3 linked regions of the Schizosaccharomyces pombe genome follow. The protein of the gene in region 3 interacts with the protein of the main gene of each other region in a biochemical or structural test. Each region holds a gene or a part of one and is shown on either strand. Other genes may lie near its edges.

Evidence for each region. The genes of interacting proteins can lie anywhere in the genome.
Region 1: of the proteins of uba1 (region 3) and ubc13, one has a biochemical effect on the other in vitro, tested with the Schizosaccharomyces pombe proteins (2 studies listed by BioGRID).
Region 2: of the proteins of uba1 (region 3) and rhp6, one has a biochemical effect on the other in vitro, tested with the Schizosaccharomyces pombe proteins (2 studies listed by BioGRID).

The regions. Positions count from the first base shown.
Region 1 is NC_003424.3:5,286,680-5,290,670, forward strand, and holds ubc13 (ubiquitin-conjugating enzyme Ubc13), read right to left. Parts: upstream 1,416-3,991; 5' UTR 1,403-1,415; coding exon 1,376-1,402; intron 1,334-1,375; coding exon 1,172-1,333; intron 1,020-1,171; coding exon 935-1,019; intron 878-934; coding exon 705-877; 3' UTR 501-704; downstream 1-500. Other genes in the region: csm1 (microtubule-site clamp monopolin complex subunit Csm1/Pcs1), read left to right, coding at 1-142, 198-376; SEA complex subunit Sea3, read left to right, coding at 1,713-3,991. UniProt on the Schizosaccharomyces pombe protein: Has a role in the DNA error-free postreplication repair (PRR) pathway. The ubc13/spm2 heterodimer catalyzes the synthesis of non-canonical poly-ubiquitin chains that are linked through 'Lys-63'.
Region 2 is NC_003424.3:303,056-307,262, reverse strand, and holds rhp6 (ubiquitin-conjugating enzyme E2 2), read right to left. Parts: upstream 1,658-4,207; 5' UTR 1,541-1,657; coding exon 1,499-1,540; exon of another isoform or gene 1,452-1,498; coding exon 1,387-1,451; exon of another isoform or gene 1,207-1,386; intron 1,174-1,206; coding exon 1,053-1,173; intron 948-1,052; coding exon 844-947; intron 796-843; coding exon 672-795; 3' UTR 501-671; downstream 1-500. Other genes in the region: U3 snoRNP-associated protein Lcp5, read left to right, coding at 1-299; protein pat10, read right to left, coding at 2,234-2,263, 2,308-2,344, 2,403-2,492, 2,532-2,589, 2,728-2,800; SPOM_SPAC18B11.09C (serine O-acetyltransferase activity), read right to left, coding at 3,244-3,411, 3,470-3,547, 3,623-3,929, 4,032-4,102.
Region 3 is NC_003423.3:3,885,638-3,892,536, reverse strand, and holds uba1 (ubiquitin-activating enzyme E1), read right to left. Parts: upstream 3,861-6,899; 5' UTR 3,842-3,860; coding exon 3,836-3,841; intron 3,778-3,835; coding exon 3,713-3,777; intron 3,605-3,712; coding exon 637-3,604; 3' UTR 501-636; downstream 1-500. Other genes in the region: Pet117 cytochrome c oxidase assemby protein, read right to left, coding at 1-133, 187-282; exosome complex component mtr3, read left to right, coding at 4,259-4,373, 4,412-5,070; ubiquitin conjugating enzyme Ubc8, read left to right, coding at 5,971-6,525; gamma tubulin complex GCP4 subunit Gfh1, read right to left, coding at 6,871-6,899.

The DNA of each region.
Region 1 (3,991 bases), on a different chromosome or scaffold from region 3:
TTATTGAAAACTCGAGAGCAAATAAAAAACTATTCAAAAATTAATATACTTATAAAGGAGCTTTTCGGATTAGAAGTTGCAGACTGTATAGAGGACGAGGATGGATATCGTTTCAACTGTAAAAACACTGGAAGGAGAGGGAGTAAGTGCTTTAAGGGATTTAGAAATAATTTCAAGCTAACAGGATATTATTATAGCACTCGAATATCAGCTCTTGTTAGATGATCAAAACTTTACATTTACTCCACGTCTGAATGTTCAAACTGATGAGGAGCTTATGAAACATTTACCAGACTATTTGTTGGAGGAAATTATCTTTACGAAAGAACAAGGAAAATTATTTTCTGCTAGATTAATGAAAGCTTTGCAAGATTAACAATAATAACTATGGATTTTGCTTAAACTTTAATACTTCCTTGTTATATGAATAGCACTATATCTTAAATTAATTGTGCTCGTCGAGATATCACTTTTTTCATCGTCCGTCAAAAGCTGCGATGTTTGTATTCTGCTACCATAATTATCTATTATTAATTTTTACATCTTTTATTCGAAAAGACCTTAACCGCTTAGGAAAAAATTGAATGCAAAAAACTTAAGGAAATGGGTAGAATTCAAATCAAAGACTGTATATAGAAAGCTATTGATATCGTAATATATTATTATTCTAGTGATAACCATAAGCATTGGACTATCATAAGTAATCAAACTGCATACTTTTTCGTCCATTCACGGGCATTTGCAATTGCCTGTGGCTCATTTTCTTTCCAAATCTTTGCAACATCATTGTCTAAAGGGTCATCTGGGTTGGGAGCACCCATTAATGCCTGTATCGAAAGTAGCACGGTTCGAATTTGTAAAGCAGGACTCCAATCCTCTGATTTATTAATGTTAGTACACCAAAATAAGATGAAACGTGTGAAGTTTAACATACTTTTTAACGTAGATAAACATATGCGACCTAATTTATCAACGTTTGGATGATAAATTTTAGTAAGAAAACGAACATTGGGAGGCATCTAATAGTTGTTAAAACTCAAATTACACAATTATACAATTTTTTGAAGACAGTTTGAAACTGACAATGCCATTCTTCAAATTTTTGTTGAACTAGCAGGGCTAGCAAAAGGACCATGGTAGGCTCAATACTGTGTTTTCAAAAAAAACCTACCATTGGATACTCATCAGGAAGAAACAGCTCTAAGTGAAATTTTCCACCTTCATAAGCTGATTGCTGAGGCCCTTCCATAGTAATTTTAAAATAGCGAAGATTATCTTCAGTGGGAGCCGCTACAATTCCGGGTGGAGGATCTCTCGTAAGGGTTTCAATTTCCTACCAATTATTAGTTGAAAAATGCTAACAGAAAGCGCAAACCTTAATAATACGCTTAGGCAAAGCCATTGTTCATATACTTGGACTTCCTAGAATGCATGCTGTACACACAATAAGTACTTGGTTTAAGGAGAAACTGGAGAGATTGATACACTATTCTATATAAGGAGTGACGTAAAACATAATACAAATAGTGAGTGATAATAAAATCTCCACGGCTCTAGCTAAGAATAGTATTAGCAATTGACAAGTAGCCATGGCTTCTTAGTTTATTATTATTAATATTCATAATATTGTATAAAATTTAATTTGTTTTTTTATAAAAAAAAAGATTCAGAATCCTGAAATTGCTACAGTCACCTGGCCCATATCGAAAAAGATGAGGGAATTACAGGGAGACGATTCTTCAAGAAAGTCTCCTCCGAGTGATTCGGTTGTAAAAAATTCTTCGCCTATTGATTATGAACATTCATTGAAATCTCTTCAAGATGAACGTACCTTGAATTACCCCAATAAGCAATTTAATTCTGAAAACCCATCTTCATACTATAATATGGATGATAGCGGGGAATTATGCAACTTTGAATTGGAGAAAGACAGTCTTGAATCAATGATCCATGAATCGTCCACTGCTCTAAGCGCTCAATCAAACACTGCACAAGACGGTGATCAACTAGCTTCATCGTCAACAATCTCTAAAGATCACTCAGAAACGTTGGACAATAAGCTAAACGATTCTAAGATATTAATTAAAAAAGCTTCTAACTCCTTTGCAAATTTTTCAGAAAGTGTAAGGTCTAGTACCATTGTTGCATATTCTCAAACACCGACACAAAGGTTGCAAGGTTTAACTTCCATATCATCTTCTTCTTTTGACGATGGTAGTTATGGATCTCGTCGAATATCTTTTAACTCTCAGGGTGTTTCTGGTCGGTTGCGAAGAAATATGGATTCCACGGTCATCATCCCTTCCGAAGATGAAGACTTGCAGTTACCATCGAATTCTAACAGCAATGTGGAATACGGCCCTTTTGATAGTACTACGTTTGATAGACAATTATCAATTGAAGTTAATCAACCAGTGGGTGCTATGTCTTTATCTCCTTGTGGTAGAGATATAGCTTTAGCTTCACGTTATGGTTTACTAGTCTTAGATCTTGATAATCCTTATAATCCACCAAGAATGCTAAGACATTCTACTCCTTGGGAAGTTGCTGATACTCAGTGGAATGTTCATGCCGCAAGAGACCAATGGGTGGTTTCTACATCAAGTCAAAAAACGATAGTATGGAACCTTGCACTACCAAATGATCGTGCTATAGAATTTATGTTACATGGACACACCCGCGCCGTCACAGATATGAACTGGCATCGGCAAAATCCTGATGTTCTTGCCACTTGTTCAATTGATTCCTCTGTTCACTGTTGGGATTTGCGTAGTCCTCGATTTCCTGTTAACTCCTTTTACGATTGGCATAACGGAGCTACTCAGGTAAAATGGAATTATAAAAATCCCCACATACTTGCTTCTAGCCATGGACGTTTAGTAAGGATTTGGGACGATCGTTATGGATCCGCCCCACTTCATACAATTAAAACTTCCGAAAATATTACTAAAATTAATGGTCTTGAATTCAATAGAGCATGTGAAACTCGCCTATTAACTTGTGCTATGGATCGAACAGTTAAGTTTTGGAACTATGAAAAGTCAACAGAGGAGCCTGAGCATTTAATTACCACTGATTCTCCAGTATGGAAAGCAAGGTTTACTCCATTCGGGGACGGAGTTATTTTGATGCCTCAGAGAGGAGACAATTCCGTACACATGTACGATTGTCGTAATTTAGACAAAGAAGGCCCCCGTGCTGTACATAGATTTGCCGGTCATACCGATCAAGTTAAAGAATTTCTTTGGAGGTGTCGAGGCGAAGATGTATTTGATAGAGATTTAAGAGATTTTCAATTGATCACTTGGTCCAAGGATCACCATGTTCGTTTATGGCCTATTGGTAACGATATACTCAATTCAATGGGACACGATCGAACAAAACCTGTTCCTTTTAAATTAACACGGTTAGGCGCGAAATATCGTACTTATTCTCGTGAGCCGCTTAAGCAATCATTAATTAACACTGAGTGTGATTCCTCTGATGCTATGAACTCGTTCGATTCTAATTTTGGTGCAGAACGTGCTAATACATCTGACTTATCCAGGGGATTTGTCGCTTTTGCTAACCGTAAGAAATCTAAATACAATCTTCCTGGCTCTTCAGGATTTATGACTCGATCCACTAAATCAACTAATCCCATGACTCCATTAAATTGGCTACGGGGAATTTCTATGGGTCGGTTAGGTAATGCTGATTGGGAAGTTCCTCAAAACCTTGGAGAAGAACTTTCTTGGATTGGGCAGAAGTATTCCAACGTTAGCTTTGAGAAAATTGATGTAGCGGAAAGGACTTGCACAATATCTTTAAATGCTCCCATTCTTCCTGATGACGGTTATGCTTATATTAGGTTGCATGTGTATTTTCCAAATAATTATCCTATATCTGCAACTCCAGTGTTTCAACTAGAAAGATCAAGCGCCTTTAATGATGAGCAATTTAATTATGTTTTTAATACATTAACATCAATTTCAGACCAATGTATTTCTTC
Region 2 (4,207 bases), on a different chromosome or scaffold from region 3:
TGCAAAAAATGCGTGAGAGGATAGAGTATGAGGAAAGTAATTATACTCGCCTTCCTAAATTATCGAAGAAAGATTTAAAGAAATCTAAACGTGTAAAGAAACACGATTATGGTGGTGAAGACTGGTCATTGCTTGATCGCAAATTCCATGACGATGACTTTTCAAATCGTAAATTAGACCTGACTTCTAGAGCTAAGAGACGTGCTAATTTTGAAGACGTTAACGATGGCTCATTAGCTTCACCTGTTCAAATTGGCCAGTCATATCGTAAAAGAAAGAAGAATTTGAAACGTCGTTAATCATTATTTTGGGAACAGCCGTTGAGGTTTACTTAAAAAAATTGACCATATGTATTTAAAAAAATGGAGTTTTTGCGCTTGGTTTGGTATTTTTGTGTGGTTTAGGGCAGGTTATGTTTAATAAGATCAATATAAATTTTGCATGTACATGTCTGTATATGTGATTAGTCGCACATTAATATAGTTTACAAGTTCTAAACATAAGGAAGAAATCATTCATTCGTAGATGTAAACAAAAAAATCTTAATGATTTACTATAGTTACAATTTTGGCAACTTTGAAGCACTTAAATAGATTTAATGTGAAAGGCGGTTGAAAAAGAAGAGTAAGTTCTAATGAAATAGGGATTATTAAGACAGCTATGTCTTGAAATCAACTTTCCCAGGAGTCTTCTACAGTTTTTCGTACTCGACGCACATACTCCTTCTTGTTTTCACGATGCAGCTGAGCAGCTTCGGCATTTGCAGGGGACGCATTATTTGGATCATTAAGTAAGCTAAAAGTTAGTTATGAGAAATTTAAGTAATATTTCTGAAAAGCAAACCTTTGAATAGAGGTAAGAATTGCTGCCACATCGTAAGTTGGAGACCACCTGTTTTGCAGAATGTCCAAGCAAAGTTCGCCATTTGCGTACACATTTGGATGGAACTAAAGCCAATAAGTAAGTAAACAAAAAAAACCAAGAAAAAAGTAAATTACAACAAATCAAATAATCTAATTTAAGACTTGTCTAAATACAATGACTAAGCATACCATTGTGGAGACGAATTTTACAAGAGGAGGTTTATTAGGATATTGTTCATCAAAAGAAAGAACCAACTTAAAAGTTCCATCTTCAAATGGAGTGTCTGCTGGGCCAATGATAACAGCATTCCTGCTCAAATGGTTAGTCCAACATCAATAATAAAAAACAAAAGCAATCAATCCAGAAACCAACAAGCATAAAAAGATCGCTTCTTGTAAGAATTTTGAAACGATCTCCTTCCTAAATATATGGCAAAAAAGGCATTCAATATATAGCACATATATTCACCATTACGTTGCATAACAATAAGAGAAAAATGAATTGACATAGGTAAACACTTACCAAAGCATTACATTGTCAGAGACAGGGGAAGCTGAAACTCCAGCAGGAGGATCTTGCTGCATCCTCTAAGAATTGGTTAATATAAGTCTTCTCGGATCCACAACTGCCGTACCTTAAAATCTCGCATGAGACGTCTTCTTGCGGTCGTTGACATTTTTATAGCAACCTCTCTTCTATTTGTGATAACTTTAAAAAAAAGTTGCACAAATATCGATATCGCCTTGGAATTACACCGAGTTAGGATATCCGATTTGCGTTGTTGGAGAAGGGCAGGGAACAATAGTAGGACCATTCACTCATATGCAGTATTTCATTATTAATGGGGCGCACCCAACACGTTAAAATAATAAAGTGCACGCTCAGTTACCTTATAACTAGACCAACCTTTTAGTAATGTTCAGCATTTGCAATGCAAGTCTGCTTTAGTATTAATGAACTACTACTTCATTTAAATTATAGTTAAAGATAAGGAAAGTTGATATTTTTCATTCAACCATTAATCATAATCAAGGTCCGTGCATTTGTTAACGGTAAACTGTTGAACATGTGAAAATTATATATATTTACTTTAAGCCTTTGTTCTCATTGGGTTTAAAAAAGCAACTAAAATACATTAGGAAGAAAAAATGAAAGAGCAACAGGATGTAAGAAATAAATTTACATTTTCACTAGCTTAACAATGAGAAAACACAAACAGCCAATTTTTTACGCGTCTGCTACGTGATTGAAATGGTAGTTAGAAATGTATCTGAACTCTTCACCATTAGATATTTACATTGTGCATAAATTTAATTATCCAGAAAAAAATCAGCTTAATACTCTTATTAATTCACTGACTTAAAAATTACTAAGTTTTGTTTGGAGTATTTAAAAATTGCTGCACAAGTTAATCGACAAAGTAAATATAAAAATTCAACTTACCGGTAAATATGTTGACACAAGAGCCGCGATACCCATACTGATCAAATGTTAACATCCATAGAACTACATTAATGCAATGAATTAGGATTACTTACAAAGCCATTGAAGTCGGAGATGAGCTGGGAGACGTATTTGCGTTCAGTAAATTTGAAAAGGTTAGGATAAAAGCAACCCATGCAATTAATCTTCTCGTTAACATGAAAATCCTAAAATATCTTACATACTTGAAACGAAGAAATAAAGCAGCCATACACGTGGCTGTGCTTACCAAACTCAAGCCAACTATAATAGGGTTAGCAAACTTAATAAATTATTTGACGAAAGAAAGGATTTAAAATATTCCACAATGAACTAAAGCTTGAGCGATTAAATCAGCGTAACTCACGATTGGGTTCAATTTGAAAGTGCTTTCTACTTTACCTTCTTCATTTGCTTTGACTCTAGCTTTGTAGGGAACGATTAAATCAGGTCGTTTAAGTTCTGCAGGCGCCATATTTTATGAATTTTCGTTGTCGAGACTTCAGAACTGGTGAATGGGATGGTTCCTCTACAAGAATATAATGAAGTTAGTAATAAAATGTGTAAAATGGTTTTAGGTTAGGTTATTTAGCATTCAAATATATCGTGGGGGTTAAGAGTTCTTATCCCACTAAGAATTTCAACTATTTTAGACTTGGCTAAGCATTAGAATTAAAATCGATTGCAGTACCACGTGGGGGCTTTAGCAAGTCATAGGAGGAAACTGATCCTACTTGGCGAGTGAGAAATGGATTTCTTTTAGCATTCTAAGTCTTCTATATAACAATTTAAAGCTCAAACATAATATAATATTATTTATACTATTTTAAAAATTTAGGAACCAAGCCAGGTGAACTTAAGAAGTTCAAAGAGCATTTAATCGTTAGATGAAATAATAAAAAAAAAAATTACACTCGTTCACTCGTTTTCAATTTTACGAATAGGTTTGGCAGGTGATCCTACAGCCAACGTATTAGGTGGGATGTCTTTTGTAACAACAGCACCCGCTCCAATTACACTGCCTTCCCCGATAGTAACACCTGGGAGAACTATAACTCCCATACCAATCCAAACATTGTCCTGAATCTTGATAAAATTTTGTTTGTTAGTTGTAAGATGTTTCAATAACTGGACTAACGCATACGTTAATTGGTAAACCAAATTCAATTCCGGAGTTCCTTGCTTTAAAATCCAAGGGATGTGTTGCTGTACATAGTTGAACCTGGAAAGACACCATTAGTATATTTATTTTTTGAATGAATGACTTGAAAGTAACTATATATATATATAAACATACATTGGGGCCTAGCATTACATTATTACCAATAGTAATTATGGCAACATCTAGAAATGTACAATTATAATTTGCAAAGAATTTTTTTCCAAAATGAACGTTAAATCCGTAATCAAAAGCCATAGGTGGCTCAATCTCTGGTGCTGAAGATTCGTCAAATACAAAAACTTCAGCCAACAGTTCAGCTCGTCTTTTAATCAATTCTGCTGGGCCTACATTTTCCAAATCTCCCATAGTGTCATTAAACCTTCGCATTAATTTTTTAGCATTACATCTCGCTTGAGTCAACTCCTCGTCGTAAGCCTTGTACCTGTTATTTAGTAATTAGAATATCTCCCTGCGTTCAATGTGACTTCAAACATGTCAACGAAGATGATATATTAGCTCGACAAGTTTTAAGCATTAGCCTTACGGTTGACCAGATATCATTTTTTGGTATTCAATGGTTTTCGGTATCATTTTTTGTACACGAGTACGAGTCATTTCTGTCGGAAAACAAGTATATTCACTAGCATTGACAATGGGACTAGTAGAGTTATCGATGTATAAATAGACTTATATATATATATATATATGTATTGATATCAA
Region 3 (6,899 bases):
CCTTTTCGTCCTCTTCAACAGGTAGCTGGCTTTCGTAAAATTTTCGTAACTCTTGTTGTCGCTTTAGGTCTTCAAACCTTTCTTTTTTAATTCTTTTCCTTTCATCATCTTTTTGAACTCCCGCCGACATTTTCTATACTTACATTAGCTATGGTGCATATTTTCTTTAATATAAGTAAATATTACCTCTCGTTCAATAATCTGATTATTATGTACGAAATAAACCATGTAAACACTAAAGACACCGGCCCCGACGATACAAAGTTTTGAGGCAGTAGACATTGGCAATAATTCTAGTTAAATTTAATATAATGTATACGATAGACTTTTGTAGCCGAGTAAAGATATACTCTTAGGTAAATTAGGAGGTTAGCAGTCGAAACTTACGTAAATGCCAATCGCCGACGTTAAAAAAATTGCTCAAAAAAACAACAATTTTACTACATGTCAAAATACTTTTTAAAATATAACAGATCTTAGTTCATAAAAATTAGAAAGAGTATAGGAAAAATAATAAATTATTCATACATGCCTATTAATGTTTTTTAAAGACTGCTAATACTAATTTAGTAAATTTATTAGAGCCATTGGCATTAAATGTTGCAAATTCCAGGAATTAACCGGTTCTCAAAGGTATTACAACTTGATACAAATAAATGGAACTTCAACGTCTTCACCGTTGGCATCATCACAGCAAATTTCAAGCACCAAGTGTTTCCGGAAAGGTTCTAGTTTTTTCTTAGTAATTTGCTCAACCAATTCAGAAATTTTGAGAGGCAACCTTTCAGCAAGTTTCTTAGGTGGTTGGAAATTAGCATACAAAAGAGAAACTCCAGATGAAAGCATGGTCACTTCCAACCCCTCTTCTTTTTGGAAATAATCAATAAGCTCTTGAAGTGTGCAGTCCGGGAGATTGTAGCGATCCCAGATTTTGTCGATTTCTTTACCATTGACTTTCATTTTCGGAGAAGCAATAGGATCAGAAAATGTAAAGAGCCCTATAGCAAGGTTGAAAAATCCATTTTTATATTCCTCGATCTTCTTTTTGCCATCAACAAGTTTAACAAGCTCAAGACATACAAGTCCTGAAACGACAGCAGTTGATGTACACATGGCTGGTACAATTTTACCGGCAACAAACTTCGTCTTAAACCTATCCGCAGGTGTGATGTCGTAATTCATGGCACGCAAATTTGATGCAGCCGTTATAAAGTCAATGTGATGATTAGAGTCATCGTCCTTTTCAAATTCTGCCGGAGTTAGTCTAAAACCCACAAGAGAGGATGGAGGTGGTAGACTGTCAGCAATCGATTTCAGTTCTTGTTTATCTTTATTAGCAGCGGTTTCGGGAGCTTCTTCATTTTCATTGACTTGAATTTTAATACCAGACTTGGGAGCAAAGGGAGGAGGATTGTAGCCAGCAAGAACGCGTTCGTAAATAGCTGGGTCTGTCTCACTCTTAAGGCCGTAGTTGAATGCATAAAGACTGGCTGCTGCAACTATGAAGTCAAAATGCTCACGGTTGTGAATATCAAAAGATAATGGAGTAGGGGCACGCTTAGGACCAGACCAAAACGGTTGGCCAGTGGAGGTTACAGAATCCTTAGGGAAATTGAAAAGTAATTGCTGAATGTTGTTGTTAAAGAACTTATCAAACTGCAAACGGGCCCACATAATACATTCCTCAAATGAAAGAGGCTTCTCCGTAACAAGATAATCTCTAATATTTTCTAAAACTTCACGGGGGTTACTACTCGTTTTCAATGAAGTTTCCAAAAAGTTAGGAGAACTAAGGTACATATTAACGTTATCGATAGGCTGTTTAAACAAGCCTTCAAAGAGATCGCGAGCCCATGCAATGGTGTGCTCAATACGGTTAGGAAAGTTCTTCAAAGTACAGATAGGAAATGACTTTTCAGGAGGGTCTTGGGATGATCCGTACGACTCTGTAAGATGAGGTACAACAACTTGCGTATTACCCTTAGTACCCAAAGTACCAGACTCTAATAATGGCTTTTCGAAAAATACACAACGGCGGTCAACATACATTCGAGCTTCGACGTTATCCAAAGCATTCGTGACTAAAGATAACTTTTCAAAGAATTCATCGCCAAATATGCCTTCGCTTTCTGGTCCAACACGTTCTTGATATGAAGTTATTTTACCAGTCAATGAAGGATTCATGATTGAAACAGCGGTAGAAGCACATTCGGACTTCAGCTTTCCGACGTCACGAGGACGAAAGAGAAATTGACGATTCAAATTCGATTTTTCAATGGAGTCCATATCAGTAACAGAAATATGACCACTTTCACCAGTAGCGACACCCATCATAGCCCAGTTTTTCAGCATTTCACATCCAATAGCGCCAGCACCAACCAAAAACGTACTCAAAGAAGCTATTTTCTCTTGAAATTCCGAACCGAAAACAGCGATTTGCCCATCGTATCGACAGCCACGAGGTTTACAAGTTTCTTCACTGATCGTTACAGAAGATGGCAAGCTTTCTAAGGAGTCAAAATAGAAGTATTGCTTCAATGGGTAAAATTTACTGGTGGTAGCTTTCAACACTTCCTGTGCTACAGCACCGCCCAAAAACGCGGACATTGCAACCAAATCACCTCTTGCCTGGTATGAAATTTCCTTAATTAGTTTTTCATCGAGTTCAACATCAAATTGAAGTGTGCTTGCAATTTTCTTACAAAATTCGAAAAATTCAGCTGCATCAATGTCGTTACGGGGTCGAGGCAATGAACCTTCATGCGCATCGGCAAATGCTGAAAGGGCCTGGAAAGCAATGTGGTATTGTGGAGGTCTCATCATTTTACCAAAGTCAGGATATACATATTCAGGGTCCTTGAGCGATTCGCGGAGAGATTTGAAAGATATTTTGGTTGGAACTTTAACTTGGGTAAAGACACCATTGTAACCGGCACTTCCTAAATCTTTAACAGATCCGATAGAAAAGGTATATGGACCTTTCACTTCAACTTTACGAGGAGTGCCATCATTTAAACCAGGCATACCCTTCACTTCGGTAAATTTAACAAAATCACCATTCTCCAATCCATGACGAGTTTCTTCAAGCATGGTAACAACTCCATCATCAGTAATTGAAGCGATCATTCCAGTTAAAGGTTCATTTCCATCAGTGTCAGTACAAATAAAGTTCTCACCAAAATCACAAAATATCGATCCAAAAAGACCACGGCTGTCAGCAGCAATATAAGCAATATGGTTTTTGTGTGTAAAGTCGTTAATTTCTAGCTGTTTCGTAAGAGAAGTTTCTGTGACAACCACGCATTTGAAGTTTTTTAGATACTCTGTTGAAAGTTCATCAACTACAGAAACAGGCACATATTGATTAAGCTCTGCTAACTTTGATACCGTTACTTTTGCACGAGGAACACCAATATCGTCTTCTGTAAGAAAATATTGTGATGATAAGTCCTCAATGCGTGTAGGTTGAGGATCGTAAAGAGTAACGCTTTTTACACCTGCTAGACAAACGTTCTTTGCTATTTCAACGCCTAAACCTTTGCAGCCAATGATTAAGACATTCGACTGACTCATTTGTTTCATAGCCTCATGGCCTAAAACATAACTTTAGATAAATTAGCAAGCGCTCAGTACAAGAAAGAATATAAAAACATAAAGCTAAACCAAATCAACACCGGTAATAATGACTCTTCATGTTTCTAATAAAACTTACAGTTGTCTAGAGTAAAGCCCTTCATCGATAGTATTTTGATCCGTTTGATCAATGTTCATGTTATTCTTTTGCAATGTTAGTAAGAAGCGAAAAATACTTGAATCATTTAAACAAATTACATACACTCATTACGAAACGTGGTGTTGGCAGAGGAGAGTCATACGTAGGCTATAATATAGTGTTTTTATATGTTCAAATAGCGAGCTCTTTCGTTACACATGCTTAACAATTTATTACTCATTAAATTTAAGAGCGCGCACTTGAAGTATGCTGGCTGGATAAAAAAAAATTTTGCACCATTATTCTAAAAGCATTTTTATTTTCCAGCTTACTGATTGAAACGCTTAGTCATTACAAAAATCTTTTAGATGCGATAAAATTGCTTTCTATATGTCATATATACACCGAATCAAACAATATCGTTATATATATTAAGGCATGCAAACGCGTCATCCCAAAACGCGAAGCCACCACTGAAAATCCAGGCTGCTTCTGTATTGTTTTCTTAACGGTACATCAAGGTTAAAACAAATACTCTATAAATCGATGTCAGATAGAAAGAGAGTGTATGGACCGAGTGTATCCGTTCCCCCTTATTTTGAAGAGCCAGAACAACCTGTTTTCACGCGGACTCGTGATGTTGACAGATGTCGAAAAATATGTAAGATACCGATTATTAACATTTTCACTGACAATTAGATCTAAAATTAGGGTGGGCTACTAAAGCTGTCGGTAGCAGTTATTTTGAATCAGAAAAAATAAAAATTGCATGCACAGTCTCTGGTCCTCGACCTAGTAAGACTTTTGCTTTTCGTTCATCAGCAAAGTTGAATTGTGAATTTAGATTATCCCCATTTTCTACTTCTGTTCGTCAGGGACATGTACAAACCGTCGAAGAAAAAAGCTATTCCCAAATGATTGAAGCAGCAATTTCTCCAAGTATATTACTGCATTTGTATCCGAAAAGTTCTATAGACGTTTATATTCAAGTGATTGAAAGTGACGGTGCATTAGCAACATTGGCTGCTGCTATAAGTTGCGCATCAAGTGCAATAGCTGATGCTAACATCGACTGCATAGATTTGGTGACGGGCTCGAGTGTATTATTTAATCCCAATACGGATGAATATTGGATTGATCCTGATTATGTGGATGAGCGTGCAAGGGCTGCTAAAGGTTCTGTAGTTATGGGGTACATGGCTTCTCTTGGTCACGTTACTCAAGTATGGGAAAGAGGCACTTGCTCTCCGAGTCGCCTTTCGTTTTTGACGGAAAAATGCATAAAGAATGCCAAAGATACTCGGTTAGTAATTAATCATGCACTGCTACTAGAGAAGTCGAAATCCGAAGATCCTTAGATATTGGAATTCTACCTCTATAATAATATTCTGTTGATGGCTAATATTTATACCAATTTTACAAATTACATAATCAAATTTATTTCTTTTTAAAATTCTCTTCTATTAGTTGGCAATGCTCAAGTTTTGCCTTTTTTTCCTTAACACACATTTGAAGGGAGACGCTATCTTTTCTCGACAAACAAGCAGATGACTTCCCTAAGTAGATTTTCTTCTTTGAAATCAGCTTGGCCATCCGCAAGTTACGTTTGTTATGAAAAATACGAGTAAATATTAAATTAAAGATCTTAGTTTTTATCACTCGCGAATATATTCAGTAGCCAAACGATTAACTCTTTCCAATTTTTTCCAGTCTATTTATCGATTCCAATAGAACAAAACAAATGCTGAGATTTTATTAATACATATATTTGATACTAATTTATCAAGCTGCATTGAGACGAAAGCATCTTGGTAGTACTAGAATCATTGTTACTCACATACTGTTACCTGCTTCTTATAACCTCCAAATCAGCGAAATTCCGCGTCTTCATCATAGCCAAACTTATGCTCAATTGCCTCGTTTGTAAATTAAAATATATTTAACAATAAGAAGGACGATAAAGAGGGGATTCTTCTATACAATAAAATTGCTTTCATTTAAATTAGGTCATTGATGATTATTAGTTGTTGCTTTTAAAAATTTGATATATTCACGGACAATAGGATAGAACCATTTAAAACGGAAGCTAAGAATCTTTCCAAAAGTCCAAAATAATTTGATTTTATTGAAAATTACTCGAAAACTGCTGAATTTGCGAATTTGCCTTTATTGCAGCAAATTACCGTATTTGAATACTACACTAGCTTAAAATTATTGAGTTCTTTTTTAGTTTTGAAATAAAACTATAAAAAATCAAAATGTCGAGCCCAAGGCGCAGAATTGAGACGGACGTTATGAAGCTGCTGATGAGTGATTACGAGGTAACTCTTGTCAATGATAATATGCAAGAATTTTACGTTAGGTTCCATGGACCGTCTGAAACCCCTTACTCAGGTGGAATATGGAAAGTTCATGTTGAACTGCCAAGTGAGTATCCTTGGAAATCTCCAAGTATTGGATTTGTAAATCGTATATTTCATCCCAATATCGATGAGCTTAGTGGAAGTGTTTGCTTGGACGTGATAAATCAAACTTGGTCTCCAATGTTTGATATGATTAATATTTTTGAGGTTTTTCTTCCACAGCTACTCCGTTATCCTAATGCGTCGGACCCTCTAAATGGAGAGGCAGCAGCTCTATTATTGCGAGAGCCGAATACCTACTATGCCAAGGTTCGAGATTATATCGCTCGGTATGCTAATAAAGAAGACGCTGATATAACTTTGAACGACTCTTCAGATGATGACACCATGTCTTCTATTGACACTGAATCTGGCGATGAAATTGCTGGTCCAATGGACTCTGATTTTTAAATTTCGTTACGTTGCTTTGTTTGATATACATTGATTCTTTTTTGAATTCTCTTTATGGATACTGATTGTGGCATTCAATAAACCGATGGATAGCTAAATCTGTTACACTTTTTTTTCTATTGATGCATTGAATGATTCTTTTTGCATGCTGTCGCTTGCAAAACCCGTTTGAATTTGCTTTCAATCAGTAGTCGTGACAACGATATTTAATAGGTTTATTTTCTTGAAGCTTCAAGTTACTGCAGCATAATTTACGACTATAACTCCATGATGCATAGTTAATGAGAACTAATATTTAAATAAAATAGAAAAAAAATATTAAATAAATACATTGATCATATCTACCTATAAATTAAGCTGAACAATCAGCGCGT